3 linked regions of the Ovis aries genome follow. The protein of the gene in region 1 binds, or shares a complex with, the protein of each later gene. Links are inferred from orthologs where the notes say so. Each region holds a gene or a part of one and is shown on either strand. Other genes may lie near its edges.

Region 1 (9,365 bases):
AGTGGCTGAACACCAACAACTGGAGGCTGAAGTTGAGAGATAGCTTTGAAAGCAGTGAGACTGGTGGTTGGGCGAGCAGTAAGGAGGCTAGAGCCCTAAGTGAGGTGAGATGCTGAGCGTAAACTGAACCAGAATAAAGGTAGCTGAGCAACGAACGGAGACAGAGGTCTTTGTGGGAAAACCTGTGAAAGAGAAATTTAAAAGAGAAGGGGAAAACGAAGAGACTGTGGGTTAGTCCATCTCCAGCCTTACATGTATAGCTTCCTTAGCAAGGTGAGGCCCCAGATAGCTGGAATAGTTGGGGCGTTAGGTGTTAGTGGAGCACCATTACAACCTGTGTTGCCTGGAGCCTGCAGCGATCGGTCTAAAGGGTCACTTACCTAAGGAAGGAGGATGGGGCGATGTCTGCAGCAGTGGCAGATGCTGAGCTGAGTTGCAGTCCCCCCACCCCCACTTCCTTTCCCAGACACATCTCACATGTCATTCGAGGAGCTGTTGGAACTGCAGAGCCAAGTGGGGACTAAAGCCTACAAACAACTGGTAACAGGAAGCAGCACTAAGAAGCAGAGTTGTAGACCACCTGTCCAAAAAGCATGTGTTGCAGATAAGCACAGGTGAGGAGCAAGGCCTTTCCCGGGAGTTGGAGGGAAAGACCCCTACTTGAGTAGGTGTCTGCTTTCTTGGGTGGCAGGTGGGAGGCCTTTAATGAGACTGGCGTTCCCTTGACCTGTCCTTCACTTTTTCCATAGGCCTCTGGAAATGTCAGCCAAGGTCCGGGTGCCATTTTTGCGTCAGGTTGTCCCCATCAGTAAGAAGGTGAGGCGGAGGCAGTGAGCATTTTCTCAGGGAAAGGAGACAGAACGGTTCTCTTATATTCTCTGTTCTCTCCAAAGGTAGCCCGGGACCCCCGCTTTGATGATCTGTCAGGGGAGTATAATCCTGAGGTGTTCGATAAAACATATCAATTCCTAGATGACATCCGAGCCAGAGAGAAAGAGGTGAGTAGCATGCGGCTGGTTTGTGGGGATTCCAGGAGGGACTAGAGCACAGGTTAGAGAAGCAGAGGGGAGCAGGGCGAATCAGATTGCTAGTTGTGTGATCATTGGCAAAATACTTAACCTCTTTTCAGTTCAGTTTCCATATCACAAAAAGCTAATAGTTCCATTTCATAGTGTTACTGTGAGTTAACGTATGTGAACCTCTTAGAATGATGCTTGGCACAAAGTTTCAGGTAACATTTACAGAACGTTAACCATCATACTCATTTTCCAATATGGAGCTGGTGAAAAAGCAGCTGAAGAAGCGCCGTTCAGGGGAGGAGCATGAGAAACTACAGCACCTGCTTCAGCGAATGGTGAGAGGGTCGGAGTATGGGGCGGGAGGTGATTCACAGTCCCTGCCGTTCACCTGTCTCACTCCTCTCATCTCCGCTCCACAGGAGCAGCAAGAAATGGCCCAGAAGGAACGGAAGCGGCAGCAGGAGCTGCGCCTGGCCCTGAAGCAGGAGCGGCGGGCTCAGGCCCAGCAGGGTCATCGGCCATACTTCCTGAAGAAATGTGAGCGGGGCACAGCTACGGCCCACGAGACACAGGGGCAGAGACTGGGTAGCCATAGTGATGGATGCTGTGTTAGGGGTTCCTGGAGCTGCCTAAGGGAGGCATGAAGGCTGGATCCCATGGTAACTTAGAGGAAAGTAGAAACAGTAGTAATAGGAAGTCGTCGTTTGTAACCATTCTCATATCCCTAATGAGACTGTGGGCAGGGAGTGTCACTTATCTTTGTCATGCCCCCTCATATGTTGGGTTGGGCACAGAGAAGGAGCTCATGGTTGGTTGAATTGAGAAAGAGTGGAGTTGTGGAAGTCTGCTTTTACACACCAGTGAACCCCTGATGAGTCACATATCCCTGCGTAGTGGTTAAGAGTTACTGACCTGGGGCAAGGGGAGGCAGGGAGACTTCATCCTTTGCTTACTGATTTTCTTTCTCCTTGCCCTCTAGCTGAGCAGCGCCAGTTGGTCCTGGCTGAGAAGTTTAAGGAGCTGAAACGAAGCAAGAAGCTAGAGAGCTTCTTGAGTCGAAAGAGGCGCCGAAATGCAGGCAAGGACAGACGACATCTCCCTTTGAGCAAAGAGTAGTAAGCATCCGTGCTCAGCTCTGCTGCTGCCCCAGTGAGAAGTGCATCTGTGGGGACACCTTTGGGCTTGGCCTGTTCTTGTTCTTTCCCATTCAACGGTAAGGTCACAGCTGCCTTGGAACTCGCCTGGCCCAGAGATGACTCGAAGCCTCTTGGACTGCCTAAGAGCTGAAAAGGAAGAGCAGCTGAGCCTTCTGCCATGCTGCACTTTGTCTGCTTGGATCTGGGTCATTGTCCTCGTGTCCTCCTCCCATCCTTGCCTTAATGATTCTGATACAGAAGGAAAAGAACCTTGAGGCTGAAGGCCAGAGTCTGAGTGGCTCCCAGGACTGTGACTTCATGCAGGAACCAGTTCATAAACACTCCCGTGTCTCATCTTTTTATCCTGCTGCTTTTGTAGGTGGCCTAGAACTACTGTTTCAGGGGCCATATGTGGGTAGACAGTAAACCTAAACCTCCTACAAAGTGGGAGGTCAGATCAGAGGCCCTTCCTCCTTCAGGCCAACAGATGACACCATCATTCAAAGAGGGACCCAGTCCCACAACTCATCTTCTTAGGTTTGGTTTTAGATGCAAGGGGAGGTAGGAGGTGGGGGCAGAAAGTGTCCCTGGTGATAGGTAAGCGCAGCTGGTTCTCATTACTGTTTGGGTGGAGAATTCATACTGCCTGTGGACTGGAGTATCTTCACGCTACAGTTCAGTTTAAAGTGGTCTTTGGTTGGGAGTACCTCCAGGTATACCTGGCAGAAGCAAATGCATTCCTCTCTTTTTAAAAAATATCTACTTATTTTGGTTGTGCTGGGTCTTAGTTGCGGTTCACAGGGTCTTTGTTTCAGCGTGCAGATTCTTAGTTGCAATATGCAGAATCTAGTTTCCTGGTCAGGTTGAACTTGGGAGAGTGGAGTCTTAGCCCCTGGATCACCAGGGAATTCCCAAAATGCATTTCTCTCTTGAGGATTGTACTTTAAACCCAGGCTTCAAGGAATTCCTTCAGATAAAATTTCAAGGCATATGAGCTTATAGTGAAAACAAGCACAAAAGAAAAAAAAAAAAAAAAAGCAAGAGTCATTAGGAACAACAGGCAACAGAATCAGACCAGCAAAGTCTGAGATGTTGGAAATGTAAAATACAAAAATATAAAATGTCTTATTTATGTTTAAAGAAGAGCTATGACTGATGAAAAAATGTATCAGGACAAAATTGGTTTGATTAAAGTTTTTTGTTTAATGAAAAATACACTGACATTAGAAACTTCATGGTTTAGCAGCAGGTTAGGCACACCTAGAAAGGAAGATGAAATGGAAGTAGATGGGAAGAAGCTACACAGATGGAGCCCAGGGACAGAGAAATGGAAACTAGGGAAAAGACATCAAAGAAGTCGAAGGATAGAGTGAGGAGGTGTGACACAAATCAAGAGTTCCAGAAGAAGAGAGGGTGGTTTTCTATAGTTGATAATCTGTAAATCCTAAGAATCAGTAAGATCAGTTAATCACAGACAGTGGAGGCTGGGAACCTAGATAAATCATAGGATCTATAGGCCATGGGAAGGATTGACGTCTAAGCAGCAGCTGTAGGAACTTTTGGATGGTCCAGTGTGTAGGGACACAGCGACTCCAATTCCGGGGGCATGAGTTCCATCCCTGGAGTGGAACCTAGGATCCCCTGTGCTGCTGGGCAGGCAAAAAAAAATAGCAAAACGCAGCCTGCAAGGACGAGGTGGAGTTAGAGACTAAGACTCATTGCTTGATGCTTCCTGGTTGGGGGGAGATGATGTAGTTCTGAGGGAAGAAATGCATAAAACGTGCTTCTCCAGTGGTTGGTAGTTGAAGGCTGTAGCTACCAGGATGGTTGGCCTGGCCCAGAGAGAGTGAGGGAGCACTGTAGAGTCCCAATTGTCACGTGAATCAGTCCTAGTTTAATACCAAAACAGTGATTCTGGCTGATAAAAGCAGAAAAAGACTACTGAACTACTTGGCTCACAGAAACACTAAGAAGGCTGGAGAGAAGCTCCAAAAAGGAGTGAGTGAGAAAGTCAAAGCAGTGAGAAGCACTCCAGGTCCTAGTTCAGAGCCAGAGTCACTGTGAAGATGTCAGGATCACCGCCAAAGGTTCACTCCACTTCCCTCTGCTCTAGACCGACATGTTCCCAGTTGAGGCCTCTAGTCACCTGCCTGCAAGGGGGATGCTGGGAAAGCAAGTGTCTGGTGTTTCACATGGTGGGAGGTGAGCTCTACCTTCTTCCTAGGTTGGTGGTAGAGTGTTTCCAGGCATGAGAAGCGGGTTCAGGTGAAGACTGGTTGAAAACTGATAAATGTCCACCACAAGGCTGTATTGGCCCCCAAACTTTCAGACTGCTACTTTCCCCCTTAAGGAGGAGGCGGAGGAGATGTAGGAAAGCTCTGAGCTCCAGTTTGGGTAGGTTTGGTTGGTTTTGGTTTTTATTAACAGCTTTGTTGAGATACAATTCACGTAGCATATACTTTACCCATTTAAAGTTAACAGTTCAGTGATTTTTTAATACATTGACAGAATTGACCATCACAATTTTTTAACATTTTCAACACCCCCAAAAGAAATGCCATACCTTGTAGCAGTTACTCCTCAGTTTTTCCCAATCCCCCCAACTATAGGCAACCACTAAACCACATTCTGTCTCTGGACTGGCCGACTGGGGGACATGACTATAAACGGGATCATTATGTGGTCCTCGGTGTGCAAACCAGCTCTAGGGTTCTAAAGATCAGGGAAGCAAAAGTCACAGCCTGGGAATGTTTGCCCTGCAGAGACAGTCCCATGGGCAGGGAAGGCTACTGGTGTGCGGGAGTGCACAGGGGCAAGGAAGAGCCGTGGGAGCTGCAGTTCCTTCTAACCCAGATCCTAGAGCTTCCAGGTGGAACATGGTCCTGGGGGCCTGCAGTGGCCACAAGGGTCCTTTATCTCACCTTCCCTGTCAGCCTTAGCTCCAGAAGGCAGTGTCCAGTCAATTCCACAAACAAGGAAAATAGATCCCTGCTTGATGATCTGCTGAAGTTGCAAGCCATCCAGCTTGTGGCAAGATGGGCTTGACTCTCCAGCCTGCCAGGTGAAAGCTCTTCTAACCACATACCCTCCAAGAAGGCCCACCCCTGGAGTCCACTTAATTCCCCCAGCTGAGAGGAGGGTGCTCAGTCACTCACAGCCTGCCATCCTCACCCAAAGGACCCTGGCATGGCGTGATTCAGCCTCGGAGCTGAGGGCTCCTGTCTCCTTTCAGCCAGGAAAGTCCCCACCCTTGGCAGATCCCTGGCAGTTACCACACAGGCCAAGTAATCAAACTCCTGCATTTTATTCTGTGGAAAGCCCCGGCCCTACCTAACCCTGACCCTGTCTCCAGGGCTACCGGAAGGTAGAGAAGCTCTGGGTGCTTGTGCAGGAGGCGTAGGGCACGCCCCGGGAGCGGATCTGCAGGGTGTGGAAGGTGAGGGGTGGGTTGGGGCCCAAGGAGCCTGGGTTCAGGGACTCAGTGTGAGGCTCCATGACAGTCACGGGAACCGCATAAGACAGCCTCTGGGGCCGGTCATCCTGGCGTCTCACCGTGCCCTTGCCCAGCAGGTGCAGGATGCAGGAGAGAACGTCAGCACTGCCGCAGGTGGACCCCCTGCCAAGGCTGCTGACCAGGCCCCTGGGAGGACATGGGCCCTTCTGCCAAGCCTCCAGCACCTGGTGTGGTGGGCCGAAGGGGAAAGAGAGGTCAGGGACACCCAGCTTACCCCAACTCTAGCCCCCAGTCCAAGGACAGCGAGGCCCAACCTCACTTCTCACTCACCTACAGGGTCCACAGTGAGCCCAAGACTTCGCATGGGGATCCACCTCCTCCTGGAGACTGCCCCCCACCCCACAAGGCCCCCACCTCCTGGAGACTGCCCTCCAACTGGCAAAGCCCCCTCACCCACCACCCACCGCCACCTACCAGGCAGACAAGCTGGTCAATGTGCAGCCCCTCATCCCCATGGGCTTTGAGGATTCGGACGATGAGGCAGTTGAGAAGGTTCCGTCTCTTCTCCAAGTTCCGGCCCTCTTCATCCTCAGCTTTCAGGTATGTCTGAGCTGGGATGAGCCACACGTTGCCCCTCCGAGGCCTGGGTTCCTCGCTGCCGTCTCGAATCTTGAGCAACCCTGAAATAAGTGCTGGTCACTTGGCAGGGGTCCCCCGAGGACACTGGCCCCGGCTGAGGACACAGGCCCCAGTGCCCTAAGTACAGACCTGCTGGGGTGTCCTTTGTCTCATCAAGGTCCAGGGGGCCCCTTGACGAAGTCAGAGGCCCAATTGCCTGATTCAGCACATCTGGAGGGAGCCCCGAGTGCGCCAGCAGACTCTCCACAGAGACCGCCTTGGGAAGAAGAGGGAAGCATCAGGGCCTCCCAGGGTGGGGGGCAGGGAAGAGAGAGGGTGGAGAGAAGAAAGAGGATGGACAGGTTGCGAGAACAGGGGGGCGCGGGGGAGCTGGGCCACCTTCAGCTCGTTGAAATGCAGCAGCAGCCACATCTGCACGGTGGACACGTGCAGTGTCTGGTCCCCGAACTGCAGCTCCGCCCGGCCCAGCCATGTCCACTGCAGTCGCCTTTGCGGGGCCTGCTCCAGGGCAGGGTAGCTCTGACCTGAGGAGGGTCAGGGAGGTGGCAGGAGTCGGGGGGCTGGCGAGGACGTGCCATTGCTGGAGTTTTGTCCTCACTAACCTCTGCAGAGCCTGGGGTCCAGTGTGTCTGGACACTGGCTCTTGGTCTGAGCTTCCAGAGCTTGGCCTTCCTTGAGTCTGCCTCCTGGGTCAGCCTCAGGTATCTGGGAGCCCACCCCATGCCAGGCAGCCCGTGATCAGTGCCTCCGAGGGGTTCTCCATTTTTTTAAGGGAGACAAAGTCACGAAGTGAGAAAGGACTGGGGCTCTCTTCAAACTGGAAACACTGTCTTGAAGCTGGTAGAGAAGCTCCCTGAGGGCAAGGTCTCAGTATCACCCACCTCCTTTTCACTGCCTAGGATCAGCCTCCAGTGGGGAGCTGAGGTTATGATGACTGACCAGGAGCCAGACACCCACCACCACCTGTGGACCTCAGGTGCTTTCTGCCTCCATTCTCCCCACCATAATGGGAGTCCCAGGTCATTATTTGAAGAATAGAAACAGCAACAGTCCCGGGATCTGGTGCCGTTTCACCCCACCCCTACTCCAAACCTAAGTTCCAGTCTTTTCTTCTCAAATCTACAGGCTGCCAGGCCCAGGGGCCACCGCCAAGCCCAGGTTCTTTCCCAGCATCCTATCCTCTTCCCAGGTCCCCAGTTCCCTCAGCCCAGCTGCTCACGCTTGTTGTAGAAGTTGGAGTATCGGTTCAAGGTGCCCCTCAGGTAGGCAGGCAGGCAGGTTCTGGGGTTGAGCGTGTGGCAGATGGAGGCGGTGGGCCAGCAGCGTGGAGACAGGACGAGCACAGACACTTCTGGCATTGCCCCTTCATAGTAGAGATCCTCGCTCTCGTCCTCCTCCTCCTCCTCCCCTGCCACGCCGGCTGCTGCTGCTGCCGCCACAGCCCCAGCTTCCAGCTCAGCTTCCTCCCCGGTCCCTCTCTCATGGCCCCTGCCACTGGCGCTGGCGTCACGGCTCACCTGAAGATGGAACACAGGGTGCCCCTAAGCCAGCCGGCTCCTCAGGTCTGTCCCGAGCCTCTCTCTGCCTTCCTCTCTTCTTGCTGGTTTAGTTCCCTCCCCCGCTTCCACCTGTATCTTCTTCTCTGTGTCCTCCAGCTTCAGGAGTTCCTGATCAAGCCGCTGGAGCTGGTATACATGGAACTGGCGTTGCAGCTCCTCTGAAGTGCTCAGGCTCCGCAAGATCTCCTGGGGGAGGCGACTGGGGAAGCAGGGGCCGATCTGCTCCAGCACAGCCCCCTCCAGCCAACTCGAGCCCACGCCCAGGAGACGGTCCGCCATGTAGTGCCTGCAGCATGCACAGCCCAGGCTGAGTCTTGGTGAGGCTGCCTGGCAGGGCCTCCCACTCCAAGACTCCAGCCTACCCAGACCCCAGCCCCCAGACCCCGAGGGCTTGCCTTGCCCATCATCCTGCCTCCTCCCACCTCCCACTTCCTCGGTCCACACTCACTGGTAGTAATGCTCGAAAGTGGTGGCTATCTCCAGACCAGAGAAGATGAGGACGGTTTCCAGGCATCGTTGCAGTTGGGCCAGCATCTCCATTCCCCGGGCCCCACCGATCCGGCTGCCCTGGATCCGCTGGTCGATGTGTCGGGCAAACTGCTCGCTCACCTGGGCAGTGGGGAGAGCACAGGAAAACTGTGAAGGAGGTGAGATCGGGTGTGTTCAGGGTGGTATGATCGTAGTCAGAAACTGAAGGAGAGAATGAAGCTGGTGAGTGGGAGCACAGGGAGGAGGAGCGTCTGAGGAAGGAAATATGAATGGCCAGCAGCTTTATCAACTGGTCAACAATTATAAACAACAATTTATAAAATTCCTAAAATCATTAACAACTGTGTACATTAACAATACTGGGACTTCCCTGATGGTCCAATGGTTAAGACTCTATGCTACTGATGCTGGGGGCCCGGGTTTGTCCCGCGTGCCACAACTAAGACATGACACCCCCAAATAAATTCAGTAAAATAACATTTAAAAAAAATACTAACAATGATAAACATGATTTTCACATTTAGCATGTCTAAAATCCAACAATGATAATTTAACACAAGGAGACAAGCACACAAGGCCACTGAGATAAAGTGAGTCACATAAATTTTCTGATTTGTGAACTTGGAGGGAAGGGTCTTCATCTATCTTCAGCTCTTATCACAGTGCCTGACACATGTTAAAAGTGTTAGTTGGTCAGTCATGTCCCAAGTCTTTGTGACCCCATGGACTGTAGCCCACTAGGTTCCCCCTGTCCGTGGGATTCGGCAGGCAGTAATACTGGAGTGGGTTAAGCACTTGGAATAATAGGAACGGTGGAGGAAATTACAGTACATCCATTTGATGGGCTCTATGCAAAAATTTGAGGACAAATAGCAACATGAAAATGACTTTTAATGTAAGGGTCAAAAAAAACAGGATAAAGCATTTAGCTACTTGTGGGTAAAACTAAGTGAAATCAAGCATGCAAGTAGAAGAAGGTATGCAAAGATATATTAGAATGGCACAAAGCAGGTCATTTTTTACTTTTATCTTTGTGTGTGTGTGTGTGTGTGAGATCTTAGTTCCTTGC
Region 2 (10,481 bases), on another chromosome or scaffold:
ACAACTGTCATCCTCAGGGAGGCCTCATTCCCTCTCCTCTCCTCTTTCCTCAGAGCGGCAGAGTGCGATACTGCAGCCAGACCACCTGCATTCATAATCCAGCACTAGCACTTATCAGTTTTGTGACTTCGGGCAAGTCACTGAACCTGTATCTGTTTCCCCATCTGTAAAATGGGATGACAAAAGAACACATCCTGTAGAGCTGTTGAGAAAGTGAAAGAAGTGAAAGTGAAGTCGCTCAGTCATGTCCAACTCTTTGCGACCCCATGGGCTGTAGTCCACCAGGCTCCTTTGTCCATGGGATTTTCCAGGCAAGAATACTGGAGTGGGTTGCCATTTCCTTCTCCAGGAGATCTTCCCGACCCAGGGATTGAACCCGGGTCTCCCTCATTGCAGGCAGACGCTTTACCATCTGAGCCACTAGGGAAGATTTAGGGCTGTTGAGAGGTCTGTGCTAATTAATATATGTAAAGCAATTAGGATTGTGCCTGGCACACAGGAAGTGACTCAGATAGTGTTAGCCATCACACAGTAGGGCAGGAAGTGGTCAGGGACTAGGGGCCACGGTCTGTGTCTTTAAGATGACAAACATGACAGAATTCTGCAAACCACAAAGTACCCCTAGAGAATTTGGATATGATGCTGGTGAAAATAACAAGGAGTCCCCTATATGGGCTTCTCTGGTGGCTCAGACGGTAAAGAAGCCGCCTGCAATGCAGGAGACCTGGGTTTGATCCCTGGGTTGGGAAGATCTCCTGGAGGAAAGCATGGCAGCCCACTCCAGTATTCTTGCCTGGAGAATCCCATGGACAGAGAAGCCTGGCAGGGTTGCAGAGTCGGACATGACTGAGCGACTAAGCACGGGTTGAAATTGGACTTCTGGATCCCTGAGTGCTCTATCTGAGCTCACCTAGGATGCTCCTGACTCCTGGCTCAGATGTGAGAAGCATGAACAGCGTGTGCCTCATTTTGCTAATGGGATTTCTACGTCTTGACCCTATCTGCCCACCGTGGTCCCCACCAGTACTAACCTTGGATGGTGAGCGCGGCTGAGTCCTGCACACCTGGGCAGCTGAAGCCGATCAGGGCCCCGCTGTCCTGATGCCGGACGGCCTGCAGGATGAGCCTGTGCTGCAGGCCACGCTGTTCCACCCGGTACCGCAGGGGCCCGGGCCCCACCTGGCCCTCTGGCTCGTTACTCTTGAGCTCCTCCCCGTTAAGGAACCAGGTGCCCTGGATGACGGTGGAGAGATCCAGGGAGAAGACGGCGTCTTCCCCATCATACACCTGTACCTCCTCCAGACCAGCCACCAGGCGAGCTGTGGGCACTGAGAGGGGGACAGAGCATGGCCATCAGAACCAGGCGGCTGGCAGAGGGCAGAGACTGGCAGCTAGATGGCATATAGCAAGAGAGAGCGGGGAGCCCAGGGGAAGGGAGGAAGGGTGATGGGGAGGGCACGACTTCAGGTATAGCCACTGATAGCCTGGGCTGACAGGACTGACTCACCGAGGTGAGCAGACCCGTGGAACACCACGTGGGGGCTGCGGCCGTGTTCGCTGACAGTGCAGACTCGGAAGCGGTAGTCGCCTTCGGTAGGCACGCAGTCCCCGGGCACCTCCACGGCCCCGGCTTTCTCAATGCTGAAGCACTGTACCCAGTCTTCCGAGCCCACCTCCTGCCGCTCCAGCCGGTAGATGAAGGCGGTCTCGGGGGTGGGGTCCGGAGGCTTCCAGGTGAGCAGGACCGTGTTCCTGTGGCCCTTGAACATTTCGGCCAACACTGGGGGTCCCGGGGGACTGTGCTTGATGCCTGAGACAGAGGCAGGGTTTGCATCTGAGCCCTGTTCCAGCCTCCCACAGCCCTGCAACCTAAAGTCAACTTTGCCAACCCAGACTCTGTCATCTGGTCACCCTTCTGTCCTGACCGTCCTGTCCAGCCCTTGAGGAGGCTGCCTAGAGGCTTTGGGGCCCTCACATTTGACTCTAAGCAGAGTGGTGGTCCGGGAGTTGCCCAGACTGAAGGTGACCTCCCCGGCATCTTCTCGGGTGACCCCTGGAAGGACCAGGGCGTGCATGTGGCCCGAGCTGCTCTGGCAGGTGGCCGGCAGGTCCTCTCCGTCGCGACTCCAGCGTCCCTCCACCCCAGCCTCGCGAGTCTCCACCAGCAGCACCGCGTTTTCGCCCTCAAAAACGTCGAGCTTCCGAGGCAGCCGCTTCAGGATGGGCCCTGAGACACGGGTGGGAGATTATGAGCCCGTGGACTGGGCACCGGCGGGCCTCTGTCTCGGTCTCCCCCAGCCCCCGCCACTGGCCAGCCGACCTTTGACCGTCACGTTGGCCACGGTGCGCACACGGCCGCGCATCTCGCACAGGTAGACGCCGTCGTCGTCCGCCTTCAGCCTGTGGATGATGAGGCGGCGGACCGTGCCCTCCTCGATCTGCTCGTACTTGCGGCAGGGCAGCAGCCGCTGGTCCTCGCGGAACCAGGCGGTGGGAATGCGCGAGTTGGGCACTTTACACTCCAGCACCGCAATTCCATGCTCCCGGCCCTCCACGTCCTGCAGCGGCCTGGAGAAGCGGAGGCGGGGCTCTGTGGAGAAGGGCGAGACCAGAGAAGGCTCTGGAGAGGGCCCCGACCGGGAGAAAGACCCTCCTCTGTCACCCACTGCCTAAACCCAGGGTAGCTCGGGCCATTTGCTCTTCTCCCAGAGCTAGTGTCGTTGTATACTCAGAGAAACCCTCAGAAGGGAGGTCAGATGACCCGAATTCTCGTTGAGCCTAACACATCACCTTGACCGAGGCCATTTTCATGATGCTGGGCCGCAGTTTATTTGTAAAGCAGAGAAAGAGATGGAGGGGCTTGGGCCATTATCAGGGATTTTCAAAATGTTTGGCGGGGACCCTCATGGGCACCACACACAATTCTGCAAGGGTTTGAGTTGAACTTCATTTTGAAAGTACTTCAACCACTTTTAAAACTGCATTTTACAAAAAGAAAGCATGATAACAGAAACGGCCAGTGGGGTCACTTGGACTGCTAGGGGAACATGTCTGTCTTATCACTTGGCTCTGGGAATCTTGGCCTTCATCCTGGGCTTTTCTGTCCTCAGGGGGTGAGAGTTCAGCTCTGCCTGGCCGGTTTGTGCACATCAAACTGTACCCAAGAGGCCACCACCCGTGGTACAGGTGCCACATGCTTGACTGCGTGCCAGGATGGACTCGGGAGATTTGCCAACTATTTTTCTCTGAGGGAAAGAGTTGGGTAATAACTAGTGAAGGTATGCCGTGAGTTGCAATGAACTCCTATTATGGGAAGCTTTAACTTCCAATGTGAATTTGGCCTGTTTTTCACCCCTGACTTTTCTAGTTATGAGCAATGTAAGCATTTATTAAACACCGCTGGGGGCTCAACTTTGAAATATAAATTTCCTCTCCTTCACCTTCTTCTTCTTGCAAACCTGGAAAGCAGTCTAATGACAGAATAGTCAAAAATTGGGGGGCATTTTTTTGCCCTCAAGTTTTCTCTCTTTGGTGTGAATCGGGAGTTTGTCAGGGTGACACCTGAAGCTACGATTTCCCCATGGGGGGCTCAAAAGCTAGACCCAGTTATGAATGGTTAAAATGTGTGTGCTTAATAAGACAGCTCCCTTGTTCTCATTGACTGACTTTATAAATATATGTTACAAATTTGGATTTAGAAATTTACACCCATAAAATGATCCTTTTATATAATACACTGGGGCCCCGATGGGGTTTCCATTGGGGAATGGGTGGTGAAATAACAAAGAGGCTGAGAAACATTGAACTACAAGAGTTGTAGGTCCCTCTGGGTCAATCATTCAATCCTTCCCTAAAGCCCTTTATGGAAGAGTGGTTTTCTGCCATCTGCCTCAGAATCATTTGGAGAGCTTGCTAAGAAGTTCCTGGAGCAGGTACCTTGGAGACGTACTAAACCCGAATCCCTGGGGGATGGGAGGGAGGGAGGTGGGAAATGGCATTTTAATATTCAGCCTCCCTTACTCCTCGCTGTCTTCTAGGCACTGAGTGGGGCTGGAGTAAGGCGGGTCAGGGAGGGCGCTGGAGGCCCCTCCCCAGGCCCTGGCCGCCCGGGGGCGCCGTGGTACCTTTCACGTGCAACTGCACGGCACTGAGCGTCTGGCCCGCCGAGTTGCGCGCGGCGCACACGTAGAGCCCGCGGTCCTTGGCCTGGCAGTACAGCACCTTGAGCACAAAGCCGCCGTCTCGGTCGCGGTACATGAGGCGGCGGCGATCGGGGAGCAGCGGGCGGCCCTCCCAGTGCCATTCGATCTCAGGCTCCGGCTTGCCCATCACGTAGCAGCGGAACTTTGCGTGCTTGCCCTCGTTCACCCAGAAGGTCTTGGGCGCGCACTTGAGCGGCTCCACCACGGGCGTGGGGGCCTCGTCGGGGTCCTCGGGCGGGCTCTCGGGGGGCTGCTGCACTTGCAGCAGCGCCCCGGCCCGCGCGTGGCCGTGCGCGTTGCGGGCGTGGCACACGTAGACGCCCGAGTCGGGCAGCCGAGCCGCCAGGATGCGAAGCGCCAGGCTCGCGCCCGCGCCCGCGCGGCCCGGCTCGAGGGAGAAGTGGCTGCTGTCCCACACTTCGTCCAGCGCCATCCCATCCTTCTCCCAGTAGAGCGTGGGCGCGGGGAGGCCCCCCACCTGGCACTCCAGCACCACCTCCGCCCCCCGCAGCACCCACTGGGACCGGGGCCCCGTCAGGAACACCGGGGCGCCCTCCCCGGCTCCGGGCGGCGGCAGCGGGCGCTCGGCGAGCTGGGGCTCAGGCTCGGGGGCCGGCGGCTCCAGCACGGTGACGGCGGCCGCCGCGTAGGCCTCTCCGGCCGAGTTGCGGGCGCGGCACACGTAGACCCCAGCGTCGGTGGGCAGCGCGCCGCTCAGCAGCAGGCAGTGCTCGGCGCCGTCCACCGGGAAGCTCAGGCGATCGGAGGCCGCCAGCTGCTGCCCGCCCTTCTCCCACACGACAATGGGCGGCGGCTCGCCCAGCACCACGCACTTGAGCTCGGCCTCCGCGCCACTTACCACCCGCACGGGCCGCGGGAAGCGCAGGAAGCACGGGGGGCTCCCCTGATCCCCCGAGCCCGCCTTCATCGCGGCGGCGCAAGGGCAGGTCGGGAGCGGCGGCGGGAGCCCGGGAGGCGGGGCGCGGCCGGGGACTAGGCGCCGGGACCCGCGGGGCTCTCTGCTGGCCGCCCGCTCCCGGCTCGCCTCCTTACCCTCCGCCGGGAGCTGCGGCTCTGAGGCGGCGGCAGCGGCGGCGATTCCCGGGGCTCAGGGGGGGAGTCCTTCCTGTTTGCCTCTCCAGCGAGGGGCCCCGCAGCCTCCCCTGCCTGCGGCCTGGCTTCCTGCTCCCGAGAGCCGGCCTTCCCAGCCCCCTCCCACAGCCAGGGCCTCTTTCCCCTCCTCCCTCCCACCTCCAGCCGCCAGGTCCCCAGCAGTCCGCCAAAATCGGGCCTGAGTGACAGAGAAGCCTGCAGCTGCCAATCCCAAAAATATTCTCTGATGACACAGCTGGAGGACAAGAGCCCAGACCGGCTCCTCCAGTCTAAGTTTAGAGCAGGCGGGACCCCTGCCCCCCGCCTTAACCCCAGTTCTAGCCCCCGCCCCGGCGCTTCCCCCGAGAGGACTGGCCCAGCAGCTGCTGGGTTGAAAAGGGCCCCAGAAGCTGCGAGGGGCTGGCTTGCTCTGTCTCCCTGACAAATAACGCTTTTTAGACCTGGCAGACCCCCAGTTAACAGGCTCCTGTCCCATCTGGTGTCACCTCTGTGCTGGGTGCTGGGTTGTGACTCTCTGATTCTGTGTGTGTGGAGGGCGAGGGGTTGTATGTGTGGTTTAGGTCACTTGGGGTGAAAGCCCTCTCCAGCCCCTCCCCCACATTCCTGGCGGGAGTGGGAGATAAGGCTCAGGGCCACAGACATCTGCGTCAGAGATAGGAGGTCTCAATGCCATGGGCAGGGGCAACTCGACTGCGGGGCGTGGGAAGGGCTGGGGAAGACTGGGGTGAGAAGGGTAGAAGAGGGCGGTGGTAGGATGGGGAGGGTGGAGTGGGGAGGCCCTGGGCAGACCCTGGCAGAAGGGGCACAGGGCAGGGTGTGGGTTCCCGGTGGGCAGGGCCAGGTGAGCTATGTGGCTTCAGCTGCTCCTCTTCCTGCTGGCCCCTCAGGGCGGGCGTGGCTGTCATGGGCCGGAGCTGGACCGGGAACTTGTCCTGGCCAAGGTGAGGGCCCTGTTCCTGGATGCCTTGGGGCCCCCGCCGGTGACTGGGGAAGGTGGAGATCCTGGAGTCAGGCGTCTGCCTCGAAGGCATGCCGTGGGGGGCTTCATGCGCAAGGGCTCTGAGCCCGAGGACCAAGATGTCTCCCAGGCCATCCTTTTTCCAGCTGCAGGTAATGAGGGTGGGGTATTGGCGCCTTGACTCTGACAAAGAGTGTGGTGTAGCCTGGATTCGGGAGCTAGGCAGGTCTGGGGTTGAATCCCAGACCTGACACTCAACTGACTTTGCAACAGTGGACCAGTTACTAAACCTTCCTGAGCCTCTTGTCTCCTCATCTGTGAAAAGCGCCATAATGCCTACCTTTCAGGATTGAGTGAGATGGTGTATCCCAGAGTGCCCGGTTCATAGGAGCCATTTGTGAGATAGTCATCTGGGAGGCCAGCGGTGTTTAGGGACAGAGATATCTGGGGTACCCCTTCCTGCCATCTTTCCTCCTCCCTTTGCTTTTTTGCTCCCTGCTCCAAACATTGTTTCTTTAGCCTCAGAAAGCTGAGACTTGAGAAGATATCAGGGATGCGGGAGAACAGTTAGTTGGGAAACTAACCTACCTTCTCTTGAATTCTCATCTCCCCAGTCAGTTGCACTCACTCAGTGAGTAAAGCCCTCCTCTGGCTGGACCTTTTTGTAACCTGGCTTACTTTTCTCTCAGAGAGGATGCTCTGGCTCCCTGTGCTTCAGGCCCCAGGCAGCACAGTGAGTGTGGCTTTAGGATCAGGCAGAATCCCAGCCTGGACACTTAGTTTAATGTCTTTTCATCTTTCTAACGTTCAGTTTGCCCTGGTGGCTCAGATGGTTAAACATTTGTCTGCAGTGTGGGAGACCCAGGTTTGATCCTTGGGTTGGGAAGATTCCCTGCAGAAGGGAATAGCAATCCACTCCAGTATTCTTGCCTGGAGAATCCCATGGACAGAAGAGCCTGGTAGATGGGGTCACAAAGAGTCAGACATGACTGAGCGACTAACACTTCTCATCTGCCAAATGGATCAGTTGTTGTGAGGTTTATAATGAGATGTTCCACATAACAGTACAGCCCCAATTGCTAGTTCTTTAATTTGTGCTGTTCGTGACTGTTTGATGCAGTTTATATACTTGTCAGGGTAAGGATGCCAACTGCATTTTCTTCGAAAGCACTGTCCTTGATTCTGAGCTGAATCCTTTCTCCTCCTCCCCACCCCCTTCCTCTTCCTTCTTGGTGTTAACCTTTTTAAAGTGAATTAAAGAATTTCTCATGCAGTATTTCTGACATGAGTAATATAACAAATGCCTGTGTACACAGTGTTCAAGGTACCATTTCATAGTATCAGATAAAAATTTAAATAGAAACAAACAATTCTAAGCAATGGTGAAGGGAGAGAGTGCACGGCATCTTACACATCACTGATGGGAATATTAATTGGTAAAACCACTTCAGAGAGAAGTTGGCAGTGGCTGGCATTTTTGAAGTCTTTTAATACTGAAGTAACACATGGGGATTTTCCTAAAGGAAATCAGTCCTGAATATTCATTGGAAGGACTGATGCTGAAGCTGAAACTCCAATACTTTGGCTACCTGATGTGAAGAGCTGACTCATTTGAAAAGACCCTGATGCTGGGAAAGACTGAAGGCGGGAGGAGAAGGGGATGACAGAGAATGAGATGGTTGGATGGCATCACTGATCCAATGGACATGAGTTTGAGTAAACTCCAGAAGTTGGTGATGGACAGGGAGGCCTGGTGTGCTGCAGTCCATGGGGTCGTAAACAGTCGGACACAAATGAGCGACTGAATGACTGAACTGAATGGAACTGAACACATGGGGGGCCTCTGTCAGTTCCCTGAAGATTGGGGAGGGTCCTGGCCTCTGGCAGAGAATTTCGTGTGGCACCTAGCAGGCTCATGAGTGGCAGCCAGATCCCTCCTGCTGAGGGAGAGGGGTTCCAGGTTTTGCCGGTGGGGGCTGCCCTTTCCCTTCCCTCTGCCCTCTGCAGGTGCCAGCTGTGGGGATGAGCCAGATGCTGGAGAGGCTGAGGAGGGCCTCTTCACGTATGTGTTCCGGCCATCCCAGCACACACGCAGCCGCCAGGTGACTTCGGCCCAGCTGTGGTTCCATACTGGACTGGACAGACAGGAGACCACTGCCACCAATAGCTCTGAGCCCCTGCTCGGCCTGCTGGTACTGACATCCAGGGGTCCCACGCCTGTGCCCATGTCGCTGGGCCAGGCACCCCCTCGCTGGGCTGTCCTGCACCTGGCCACCTCCGCCTTCCCTCTGCTGACCCATCCTGTCCTGGCGCTCCTGCTGCGTTGTCCTCTCTGTTCCTGCTCCGCCCGGCCCGAAGCCACCCCCTTCCTGGTGGCCCACACACGGGCCAAGCCGCCCAGTGGAGGGGAGAGGGCCCGGCGCTCCACGCCCCCGCTGCCCTGGCCTTGGTCTCCTGCTGCGCTGCGCCTGCTGCAGAGGCCTCCAGAGGAGCCCGCCGCCCATGCCGACTGCCACAGAGCCGCCCTCAATATCTCTTTCCAGGAGCTGGGCTGGGACCGGTGGATCGTGCACCCTCCTAGTTTCATCTTCTACTACTGTCACGGGGGGTGTGGGCTGCCCACCCTACAGGACCTGCCCCTGCCGGTCCCCGGGGTGCCCCCTACCCCTTTCCAGCCCCTCTCTCTGGTGCCAGGGGCCCAGGCCTGTTGCGCTGCCCTCCCGGGGACCATGAGGCCCCTACGTGTCCGCACCACCTCGGATGGAGGTTACTCTTTTAAGTATGAGATGGTGCCCAACCTTCTCACCCAGCACTGTGCTTGCATCTAAGGGAATCCCACTGATGCCCGAGCCCCCATGGTCACCAGCCTGGAGGAAGGGCAGGCTGCCCGCTCCCTTCCTCCTCTCTGCCCAGAGGCTCCCCTCTCCCCATTCCTGCCCCTGTTTCATGAGGAACGTGACAATAAATGACATAGTGCATATGACTTGGCGTGTCTTCTCAAGCTTCTCTGATAAGTGTTTTTGTCAGGGTGAGGTCTAGGCCCTGGGAGCATGGGATTGTGGGGTCTCACGTCACTTAGCCTCACTTGATATAGGAGATGGGGATTTGCCAGTGGTAATTGGATGTGTATCTGGTGGGAAGTTACCATGCTTGGGGAGGACAAATAGGTGCTGTCAGCTCAGGAGCCAGAACTGGCCCTTGTACAAGTTGGCCCTGATGTGTCGACTGGGTGGTCTGCCATGCACACATCATAGTGCCTACGCCCAAGTGTCATAACCACCCCTACTCTGCCCTAGCTGATGGACACCTAGCTCAAGGTCAGGTGATTTACAGAATGGCCAGAGATCACGGCTTTGGGGGCCCCACTGAGACATGTTCAGAGCTGTCCAGGTGTTTCCTGTGCCAGGGATGTGGGTGACATCCCCCAGGGATGCTGGGGACACTTTACTGAGGGGTACAGGGTTCTCTTCTAGGCCAGTTAGCAGATCGGTGTTGCTAGGGAAGTGTCACATATCTGAGACAGAGAAAAGTGAGTGGCACAGAGTAACTTTCACAAAGCTAAGGGTATTCTTTTTAAATGACTGCCCTGTATTCTATGTTATCCTTCAGGTGTGTGTGTCAAAGTGTCATATCTTTTATGATATTATGGTGACGATAGATAGCAGTGTTTTTTTTTTAATGTGTTTGTTTTCAGATTTTTACTTAACAAAATTAAAACTTTGCAATTTGAATTTGTATCCTAAGATTTTTCTTTGTAGTTTTACTGCTGAAATCTGTGAAATCCTAAAGTTTGGGAGTCACTGATCTAGGCCTCCCCTTCCAGAGTCTCCAAGGCCTTTGATTCCACTAGCTTAGCAAGTGAGGAAGAAATGTCCACCCCTACCTAAGAGGGGCCAACAGTGACTAAGAAAATCTGTATCCACTTCTGGCCATGAGACCAAGAGCAGGACACTTCAGAGATTTTCCCTGTTCCCAGTGGTAATCATTAGAGACACTGAATAATCTTCATTCAGAGTCCATTTGAACAGAAAATTCAACTCAAACTGGCTTAGACCAAAGAAATAAAATTTTAAAAACCTAGCAGCCTATGACAAGTCCACAAGCACAGTTGACTAAATTATAGCTCGATTTGGGGCTCAAAGATGCTCCCAGGATTCAGCTATAGGCTCCAAATACCCTGGGTGGGCTCCATCTCAGGTCCATGGCAG
Region 3 (10,283 bases), on another chromosome or scaffold:
CTGCAGGCGGCCCGCGGGAACAGGTAGTGGGAGGAGGCGTCGGAGGGGGTTTAGGACACAGGCTCGGAAGAGGCGCCGGAGAATGCGGAGAGCGGAGTCCGAGTCCGAGGACCGGGCTTCCAGGAAGCGCCTGGACCAAGCGGGCCCGCACGGCCTGCAGGGCCCTGGGTCGAGCAGGCGGCGTCAGCTCCCGCCCCATCGGGGAACACGCAAAACCCGAGAGGAGGGGAGCGGCGGCCGAGCCTGGAGGGGCGCCCTCCCGAGACGAAAGCCCAGGAGGCGACGGCGGGAAGCAAGAGCAGGAAGGGGCGCGCGGGAGCCGGGACGCAGGCCGAGGCCGGCCCAGGGCTCAGCCGCCCGCGGGCTCCAAGTCGGCGCGTGGGAAGAAGACTGGTTGGGGCAGGAGGCTGCACCACATGTGCCGCTAGGGCCGCTCCTAGGGGGCGAGGCTGCAGCTGCCGGTGGGGCCCCAGCTCGGCGCTCCCTCCGCTCTCCCCGCCGTGGTGGCAGCTCTGGCCGAACCATGCATTCCCGGCTCTTCTCTGCGCGCAGCCCACCGCTCGCTCTCCAGTCTTTTCAGTCCCTCCTTTGCAGGTGGCGCGAGCGATCCTGACGCAAGAAGAATGTAACTGTAATGAGCGCCCGTGGAGGCAGCAGCCCCAGGTGACGGGGCGGTCTCAGGGCCCACCCAGCGGGCTTGGCTTTGGGTCTCCTGGCTCAGCACAGGGGCGAGTGTGTCCGCGGACACCGGGCACCAGGGGAGGCCCGCAGTGCCGGGCGTTCTTTCTTGTTCTCGGTGGAGCCCTGATCCCTTCCAGACTCATGCTTCTGGCCATCGTCCGTGAGCCTCTGTTCCTCATTCCAATCTGATGGGGGCTGGCCTGTGTGATGGAGGTTCCAGCCGGGCAAGAGGAGTGTCAGGATGCAGCTGAGCCAGGAAGCTAAACCTCCTGCTCGGGGTGGGGAGGAGAGGATTCCAGGAAGAGAAGCCTGAGAGGCAGGGGGGGTGTGCTCCTGGGGGAGGGGAGAAGAGGTGGGGGAGGGGAAGGGAGGGGTGGAGACCAGCCACAGGGGCAGGGGAGGAGGGGAAGGAGAGGGAAAGTCCCTGCCCATCTGAAGTGCAGCTGGTACAAACGCACCAGCTTCTCAGGGCCAAGGCCTCCTGCTGGTGTCTACAGGCTGAATCTGACACTCGACCTGCAGTGTTTTCAAACAATGGGACTTCTTAGCAACACTTTCAATTTGGGACAATTCACATACGGTGTGTTGGCTTTTCTCTGCAGTACCAAGCAGTGCACCTCCCCCAGGATGTCCCACCAACTCTCCCCTACCCACCTCCCGTGGGGTGACAGTCCCCTGGGCGCTGGAGGGAAGGGGTGAGGCGGGCGGTTGCCTGGTGGAAGCGCACTCAGGAGGCAGAACATCCCGTGCAAAAGCCCCAAGCCACTGTGGAGATTGGGGTTTATTCATGTGTAACTCTTGAAGCCTCGGGTGCCAGGATTCCCTGCTGGGCATAGAGGGACCATGTCTCCAAATAGGCCACCTGCCTTCACAGGGCTGCCCGTCTAATTACATTCCACGTGACTGGAGTTGTGAACTCTGCCGGGGTCCCTGGGGTCGGAGCGTGCAGACATGCCGGGAGCGTGTCCCCTTCCCGGTCCTGGGATCCCTAGGAGGAAGCTGTCCCGCCCCTCGGTCTGCTCAAACGGAGAGAGTGGCATCCTGAGATTCTCGGGAGTGTCATCTGGTCCTGAAAGGGCCCGGAGGGAGAAGCCAGACACCGATGAGCTTTTCCCACTGTTAAGTTCTCTAGGGTCCGGAGCCCACGAGGCCCCGCCTTCCTCATTGCAGGCTCCGCCCCACACAGCACGCCCCGCCCCGCTGAGAACTAGGCCTGCGGAGGAAGCGTCCACCTAGGCAAGCGCTGTCGTGGCCTGTTCATCCACTAGGAGGCGCCCTAAGATCAAGAGCTTAAATCATGACTACCATTACCTTTCTTGGGGTCCACCGCTTTGAAGTTCCGCCTGTTTTCTAAATGCCAGGCAGCCCAAAACTGACTTTCCAGTAAAGCTGCAAAGTAAGGTCCTGAGACCAACTGCATCCGCATCTCCTGGGAACTTCTTAGCAATGCATATTCTCAGGCCCACCCCAGACCTACAGATCTACTGAATGACGTCTAAGAAGTCCAGGCCAGGACTGCAGCCTGTCGGGAGGACCTAGCTGGGCTTTAGCCTTACCTCTAAGAATTTCCCTTTATCCGGCCTCTATCGAGGCCGGGGCATGGTTATTTGCTGTCTGTTTTCCCTCGCGTTAGGGGGACACAGACAATACAGAGAGAAGTCCCCCAGCTCCCAGGGTGCGTAGCAACCCGATTATAAGCTCACTGTAGCAACTTGATACATTGCTCACTACCGCACCACAATCCAGTTCTTTGGCTTGTTCCTAGTGCACTGATTTTTTCCCAATGTATCCAGCGACCAAGCTGCCCCAGATTCTTGGGCCTCGTAGCCTGCTCTAGCAACTCACAGCTCTGATGTGAAGGGCCCCTGAACCCACACGTTGGACATGTTCCCCAAATTATTCTTCTGTATGTGGTAACCAAGAAGGGATGAAGCATGTAAACTGCAGGACCTGGACCCACCAAGTCTGCAGAACCCAGGTGGGAGTGGCAGGAAAAGTGACTTTAACACGGGTAAGCATCACGGACGGTGGGAGTAAAGGGGACACAGGCTGTGACAAAATCACCCCGGAGCATTTTTCAGTTGCCAAGCCAGAGCCAAGAAATAAGCTGGTAAATATTTTTATTTGCATGTTGACCTGCGCCCTCTTTTCCAGTTCCAGGAGGCAGGGAGTGAAAGTGTATGGGCAAAAGGGGGAAGAAGAAGGGGAAGAGGAAGGGATTTCTCCTTTGCCTCGCTCCCTTCTCCAGGATGAGCACCTAGAGTTGCATTTGAGGAAGTTAAAATCATAGGGGATGCAACTCCATTGTATGGGTTTCTTTCATTACATTCCTTGGGTTACTATAAAGAGTCTGTATTAAAAAAAAAAAAATCAATGCAAAAAAAAAAGTCAATGCATAGGGAATTCCCCGGCAGTCCAGTGGTTAGGACTCAGCACTTTCACCACTGGGGAGACCTGGGTTCAATCCCTGGTCAGGAAACTAAGATCCCACAAGCCATGTGGGAAAAAAGAGAAAGAAAGATAGAAAAAAAAAAATCAATGCATAGAAAATACAGTTTTAATAAGAAAGGGACATTCGGTAGAGACGTGAGAGGCACTGCCAGGCCCTCACTCTACCTCCATTTTCAAGTGTGGAGAGTCACACATGCCGTGAGGGACCCACACTGCGGCAGGTGCTGAGGTCCTCCGTGGCCCCCCTGCCCTCACCTCACAGCTGGTCCTCTTGCTCTCCACGCTCTGCCTCCGCTCTGGCCTCGGCCCGCAGGACCCTGAGGCTCCTGGCCTCGCCTGCCCTGGGCACTCTCTTGGGTAGCGTGGGCAACCGGGGAGTGTGCCAGAAGGCTCTCCGGCGCTTCCGAAACCATGAAAAGCGTCCGGGGGTCTGGAACCTCACTGTCTTGACTGGTTTCCGGGTCTGAGCTCCTGCAGTGGCCCCTGTGGCCCTTCCGGCAGCTGAGGAGTCAGCCTCCGGAACAGCCGGGGTCTCTGCCCTCTGATTACAGGCAGCTTCTGCCCTCTGGACCGATCCAGCTTCTTCCCCATCAGGTACAGCCTCTGCTCCCTGGACAACCGGGGCTTCTGCCCTCGGATCCTCTGCAGCTTCTGCCCTCGGGTCAGCCGGGGCCTCTGCCCCCTGGACAGGTATGGCCTCTGCCCCCTGGACAGCCAGGGCATCTGCTCTCTGATTATCCACAGCCTCTGCCTCCTGGACAGCTATGGGCCCTGCTCTCTGATTAGCTATAGCCTCCCCCCTCTGATTAGCTATAGCCTCCCCCCTCTGATTAGCTATAGCCTCCCCCCTCTGATTACCTATAGCCTCCACCCTCTGATTATCTACAGCCTCCCCCCTCTGATTAGCTATAGCCTCCCCCCTCTGATTAGCTACAGCCTCCCCCCTCTGATTACCTATAGCCTCCACCCTCTGATTATCTACAGCCTCCCCCCTCTGATTATCTGTGGCCTCCCCCCTCTGATTATTTGCAGCCTCCACCCTCTGCTCATTTGCAGCCTCTCCCCCCTGAGCTCTGGAAGCTGTTTCCTCTCTCCTGCGACGTCTGAAGGAAGCCCAGTTGATCTGGGGCCTCCATCGCCTTGGGGGGGTCTCAGCCACCCGCCCATCTCGTGCATTTCCCAGGTTACACCCCAGGCTGGCGCTGCCTGGCACCGATGCACTGTCCCTCTCCACCCCGGTAGAGGCCTGCCTGGCCTCGCCCACCCCGGGGCTGGACTTCGGTGTCCAGCCCTTCACCCTCCGCTTCAGCTTCCCCCAGGACACCTGGCTGACACACTCCCGCCACCTGTCCGCTTTGGACTGCTGGGGCCCTGGGCTGTCGTCAAACATGGGTACGGGCAGGTTCACCCGGCGGCGGGGAGGAGGCACGCTGGGTTTCTTCTCCCCTCGCCGGAGGAAGGCCTCCACCAGTTCCTCATCATCCTCGCTCTCCAGGTCGCTCCCGAGGAACTTGCTGCCCAGGTAACTGACGGGCATTTTGCGCACCTTCCTGCCACGGCCGGCGCCTTTGCGGCCCTTGTCAGCCTTGTTCCTGGAGGTCTCGAAATCGCTGAACTCGCTGTCACTGGCGTTACTGCTGTCATAAGTGCCCACGACCAGCCGGGGGGGTGGGGTCACCATCTGCTGGACTCTCCTCCTCACTCGGGGCTCCTTAGACTTTCTAGGGGGCTGGGGTGGATGCGGGGTGCTCTTCTCGATGATGCGGGCCACGTCCTCCAGGGTGCGGCCCTCTTCTTCCAGAAACTGGATCAGCCGTTCCCGAAATTCTGCCTCCTTGGTGGCCGGCTTGGAAATGACCCTCCAGACGCCCCCGGCCAGCCGGACCTCGCGGGGGATGAGCAGATAGTCCACATCTTCCCCAATCTGCAGCATGCCCACGGTGGAGTCCTCCTCCCGGCGGAACACCTTGCCGATTTTCTTAAAGGTCCCCACGGGCTTCAAAGCTTCGACGAGGACGTCCAGATCCACGTCTTTGCAGACGTCCGGGACGCTCCAAAGGATGAGGCAGTCGGGGGACGGGAGGAAGCCCCAGGGGAACCAGCCCCCCACATGGCTTTTCTCGAGCGTCTTTAAGATCTCCAGGGTGAAATCTGGGCTGGGGGCAATGAGCCCAAACTGCTCGTAGCCTCGAGTCTTGGGCGGGGAGAGGGGGGTAGGTTGCTCTCCCCGCAGCGCTGCCCTGAGAGTCTCACTTCCCACTTTCCTCTGCAACAAGTCCGGTCTCGATCCGCTCCCCGCGAAGGATTAGTGGGAATCAATTTCCAGGATGCTTACGTGAGCCGGGGTGAGGTCAGTTCTGAGGCTCCCAGCCCACTGCAAGCTGCAGACGCGGTGTCCCGGCTCCAACTGCGGGCGCACGGGCTGTCCGGTGGTTCTTCCTGTGCCACAGATGCGCCTGGAACTTGAGAGAGGACTTCGCAGACAAAGGCGGCTCAGCCTTGGCTATTCAATATGGCCGAGGCGCTCGGAGGCCGCGGCGCAGCTCCCCAGGAGGGTCTCCCACTCCTAGGCAGGCTTCCACCTCAGGCCAGGCTGACCTTGCCGCGCCTCCCGCCTCCCGGCCGAGGAGCGCGCGCGCGGGCAGGAAGTTCCTCCTCGCCGGCCCCCAGGATGGGGCCCACCTTCCCCCTTCTCATCTTACACTCCGGGACTCGGGAAGACTGACAGGGGGGCTGTCCACTCCCTTCGGGACGCCCTCATTCCCCTCCCCCACAGGGGTGTGGCCGCGCCCCGGGCCTCTCTGAGGCCCCGTCTTCCTAGCCGATCGCCCCGCGCCGAAGCGAAGCCCACGTCAGCAGCTTTCCCCGGGAAAGGCGGCCGTTCCCAAACCTGCCATCCCAAACGTGCGGGTTCCAGCCAAGCCCGGAAGGTGGGCGTGCAAATGGGGCAGTCCCTCTGAAACCCGTTGGCACGGTGTATTACTATTTTAAAATCACGTGACTTTTGGTATCCGCACTTCCTACCTATAGACCCAAACAGGTGGGTAGAGAACTTGGTACCAGCTCCAGGATGGAGCTTGGCACACAGTAGGTGCTCTAGAATACTTCTGAGTGAATGAATGAATGGTTGGATGGGATCACAGGCTTCAGTGGACAAGAGACTGAGCAAACTCCCGGAGATAGTGAAGGACACGGAAGCCTGGCTGTGCTGCAGTCCATGGGGTTGCAAAGAGTTGGACACAACTTAGCCACCAAACAACAGCAACCTGATCATCAGTAGAAACTCGGTTCTTTCAGTAAAATATTAGGCAGCTATGAAAAAAAAAGTAACTGAGGATAGTCACCTTTTATGGAGCACTGCTGCTGCTGCTGCTGCTGCTGCTAAGTCGCTTCAGTCGTGTCCGACTGTGCTACCCCATAGACGGCAGCCCACCAGGACTAGCTATGTATTAATACTAGACATCACTCTATTAATACAAATTAACTCATGAAATCTTCACCAAAGCATTATGAGACAGGTAATACGATGCTCATTCCCATTTTACAGCTGAGGGGAAAAAATCACTTGCTCAAGGTCACATGAGCAAGAAGAATGGGAACCTGGATTTGAATCTCAAATAATCTGACGTGTGTGTGTGTGTGGGGGGGGGGGCATGTTCACATGCATAGGCCAAATGGCATAGACAGGAGCATGTTCTCTTTGGCTGTATGACTGAGTGAGTGAAAGTCACTCAGTCGTGTCTGACTCTAGTCCCTGGAATTCTCCAGGCCAGAATACTGGAGTGGGTAGCCATTCCCTTATGCAGGGGATCTTCCAAACCAGGGATTGAACCCAGGTGTCCCATATTGCAGGAGGATTTTCTACCAGCTTAGCCACAAAGGAAGCCCAAGAATATGGGAGTGGGTAGCCTACCCCTTCTTCTGAGAATCTTCCCGACCCAGGAATTGAATCAGAGTCTCCTGCCTTGCAGGCGGATTCTTTACCAATTGAGCTATCAGGGAAGCTTGGGACGTATTAATGTTGCCAACAGTGGCTGTGTATGGGGAGGGGGACGGGGGACCCCCCAGAAGTGGCAGGCATATGTACTTTTCACTCTATATTCTGTTAGATGGTGTAGATTTTTTTTTAGCAATCGAAAATGTTCATTAAAATAAGCTAAATTAGGACTTCCCTGGTGGCTCACTGGTTAAGACTCTGTGCTTCCAATGGCAGGGGCACAAGTTCAATCCTTGGTTGGGGAAGTTCCACGTACCCTGCAGGTCAGCCAAAATAAATAGTTACACTTTTGAGGATTTCAAGATTTTTTTTTTTAGTTAAATTAAATAGAAGGTCCTCAGATGTGGCCACAGACCTGTGGGGTCAGAATCCCTGGGACTTGGGGCCCAGGATTTGCAAAGCTTCCCAGGTAACTTTGGAGGCCCACAGGTGCCTCCTCACAGTTCATTCAACAAACAGGCTCATTGCCACCTCAGGGCCTTTGCACAAGCTGTTCCCCAAGTCCAAAGAGTTGTGTTTCCCCCTCCTCTTGGCAATCTCCCTCTGCTCAAAGGTCATCATTTTATTGAAGTCATACTGCACTGCCCTCCCCATCAAACTATTGGGTGACCTCTACCCTCTCCAGGGCCTTCTAGCCCAAGAATCCTTAACCCGTTCTGTGCCATGGACCCTTTTCAAGATACTGTTTCAGTACGTAGGATTGCATCCATAAGACTGCAAAGGAGAATCGTTATAACGAAATAGAATTGTTAAAGAAAAATCCCAGCAACAACAAAATCTGTAAACTAACCACGTTAACATAAGATAAAAATAAACACGTGTAATTTTGTTTAAGTCACCACGTGTGATTTTATTTCACTCTTGAAGGAAACACGCAGATGTTTAGGGAAAGTGGGAAGGGAGCGAAAAGAATGGGAAGGGAAAGAGGGAAAGAAGGAAGAAAAATGCTTGAGGGCGGGGGAATGGGGGGACGGTTAAGGTCTCAGCGAGGCCTTTGCACAGTTATTGGCTCATTCCGGTTGTTTTTGTTTTTGCAGAGTCGGGTCGTTAGGCTTCGCTGGGTTTTCTCCTCCTCCTCCTTACAAACTCCATCCCAGTCGCCGCCGGGCTCAGCCCCCGCCGGGCCTCCCTTTTGCACAATTTCTCGCCTAGCCGCCCAGCGGTCTCCATGGCAACGAGGTGCGCTCCTCCACTCGGGTCGGCTCTAAGGAGGTGGGCGGAGGGTGGGGCGGGGCAGCCCCACTTCTCAGCTTATTACTTCCCTAAACTTTATTCCCCAAATCGGCTTCCCAGAGAAGCTGTTTTCTGGAAGCTGGAAGCTAAAAATCTCTAGGACACCTGTGGTTGAGAAAAGCTGGTTTAAGAATCTAACTCTGAGAAGCCAAGCCTTCCACGTGAGAATGACCTCGCAGATTAGGCGTCGGATTTTGTAACCGGTAAAAATCGTGTGTGTGTGGTGGGGGAAGGGGTGGAGGATTATCCTAGAAATAAAACCCTCAAATGTTCAACATTCTTACAAAAATTGCCAACCCCTTAGCCGTCCCGCTGCTGGGTGTTTTAGATTGCCTTCATCTCTGGCAGGCGAGATTCTTCAGCCGCCCCAGAAAAAAATGATAATTATAGCTCCCACTTGTATTCTTGTTTAAAAGAAATGAAAAAAATCCAAAGAGGATGGAGGAAGAAAACAAAACGTGGTTCAGATTTCTCTACCCAGCTGTACTTGGTTGCCACTTTAAAAAAACGATAATAAAAGTGACACATTTAAGAAAACGCTGAAGTTACAGAAAGGTGTAAAATGAAGAATGGCTCCCTCTCCCAGCCCCAAGCCTGCAGTCTCTCTCCACAAAGTAACCACAGTTAAAGCCTCTGTACTTTTCCAGAAAACAAAACAAAACAAAACTTCTTGCATGGGTAGAAGTTATTTACCCCATAAGGATTTTTAATATCCTGAATTATTTTCATCGCATCACTTACTTCCTCCTGGTATCTTCTTGTTCATTTATTTATTGTCTCACCCTATGAAAATACTGGGGATTCCCTGGTAACTCAGCTGGTAAAGAATCGACCTGCAATGCAGGAGACCCCAGTTTGATTCCTCAGTCGGGAAGATCCGCTGGAGAAGGGATAGGCTACCTACTCCAATTTTCTTGGGCCTCCCTGGTGACTCACATGGTAAAGAATCCATGTGCAAAGCAGGAGACCCAGGTTTGTTCCCTGGGTTGGGAAGATCCCCTGGAGAAGAAAATGGCTACCCACTCCAGTATTCTGAGAGAATTCTCAGTATTCTGGAGAATTCCATGGACTGTATGGACTGTGGGGGTCACAAAGAGTCGGACACGACTGAGTGGCTTTCACTTTCACATGAGAATACTAGCCCCATGAGAGCAGGGATATTTGTCTGCTTTGTTCAGTGCTGAATTCACAGAATCTAGAACAGTGCTGATGGGAGCTCAAAATATTTGTTGAATGAATGAGTGAGGGGATTGGGCTGGACCTAGTGCTATAAAACTTGCTTTTTTCACTTAATAGCATGTCCTTAATAGCATGTCTTGAGCTCTTTCCATATCAAGCAGATCAATCTCAATTTTTCTCAACAGCTTTCCCCTTTGTGTAAGATAATTCATTTTTTTCGAGCACCTATTTTGCCCCTGACCCTGTGTATTTTCTCTTTGAATCCTGCAACCCCTCCAGAACAGGTATTATTCCCATTTTCCAGAGGAGGAAAACTGAGGCTAAAGGCAGTCACACAGCCAAGAAGCGGCAGAGCTTTGAATTACTCAGGTTTCTGAGGTTCTAGCCCTGTACTATTTTATTATTATTATTTGCCACACTGGGTCTTCATTGCAGCATGCAGGCTTTCCTCTCTTGTTGTGGCCCCCAGGCTTCTTGGTGCGTGGGCTCTCCAGTTGTGGAGGGCAGGCTTAGTTGCCTGGCAGCATGTGGGATCTTAGTTCCCTGACCAGGGATCCAACCAGCGTCACCTGCATTGCAAGGTGGATTCTTAACCACTACACCACCAGGCAAGTCCCCTGCCCTACACTCTTAAGCTCCTTTATTTGTCCTGTTGCCTGTGGAGGGTTGGGGGTGGGGAGCAAGGTTGACAGGCAGTCCCTGAAGACTTCTCTCCCAGGTGACATATGTAACCTTGGCACAG

The links.
Region 2: CUL7 (region 1) and OBSL1 share a complex: the UniProt entries of both Homo sapiens proteins name them as parts of the 3M complex. The link is inferred for Ovis aries from reciprocal best matches to the Homo sapiens genes CUL7 and OBSL1.
Region 3: CUL7 (region 1) and CCDC8 share a complex: the UniProt entries of both Homo sapiens proteins name them as parts of the 3M complex. The link is inferred for Ovis aries from reciprocal best matches to the Homo sapiens genes CUL7 and CCDC8.

What each region holds. Positions count from the first base shown.
Region 1 is NC_056073.1:16,657,958-16,667,322, forward strand, and holds the end of CUL7 (cullin-7), read right to left. Parts: intron 8,417-9,365; coding exon 8,256-8,416; intron 8,094-8,255; coding exon 7,877-8,093; intron 7,766-7,876; coding exon 7,468-7,765; intron 6,773-7,467; coding exon 6,627-6,772; intron 6,505-6,626; coding exon 6,378-6,504; intron 6,290-6,377; coding exon 6,084-6,289; intron 5,834-6,083; coding exon 5,510-5,833; 3' UTR 4,551-5,509; downstream 1-4,550. Other genes in the region: KLHDC3 (kelch domain-containing protein 3), read left to right, coding at 467-614, 750-816, 894-998, 1,280-1,354, 1,439-1,556, 1,999-2,135. UniProt on the Homo sapiens protein: Core component of the 3M and Cul7-RING(FBXW8) complexes, which mediate the ubiquitination and subsequent proteasomal degradation of target proteins. Core component of the 3M complex, a complex required to regulate microtubule dynamics and genome integrity.
Region 2 is NC_056055.1:221,488,530-221,499,010, forward strand, and holds the start of OBSL1 (obscurin-like protein 1), read right to left. Parts: upstream 5,409-10,481; 5' UTR 5,131-5,408; coding exon 4,125-5,130; intron 2,591-4,124; coding exon 2,321-2,590; intron 2,228-2,320; coding exon 1,976-2,227; intron 1,811-1,975; coding exon 1,508-1,810; intron 1,329-1,507; coding exon 1,032-1,328; intron 1-1,031. UniProt on the Homo sapiens protein: Core component of the 3M complex, a complex required to regulate microtubule dynamics and genome integrity. It is unclear how the 3M complex regulates microtubules, it could act by controlling the level of a microtubule stabilizer.
Region 3 is NC_056067.1:53,465,509-53,475,791, reverse strand, and holds CCDC8 (coiled-coil domain-containing protein 8), read right to left. Parts: upstream 5,753-10,283; 5' UTR 5,066-5,752; coding exon 3,389-5,065; 3' UTR 2,785-3,388; downstream 1-2,784. UniProt on the Homo sapiens protein: Core component of the 3M complex, a complex required to regulate microtubule dynamics and genome integrity. It is unclear how the 3M complex regulates microtubules, it could act by controlling the level of a microtubule stabilizer.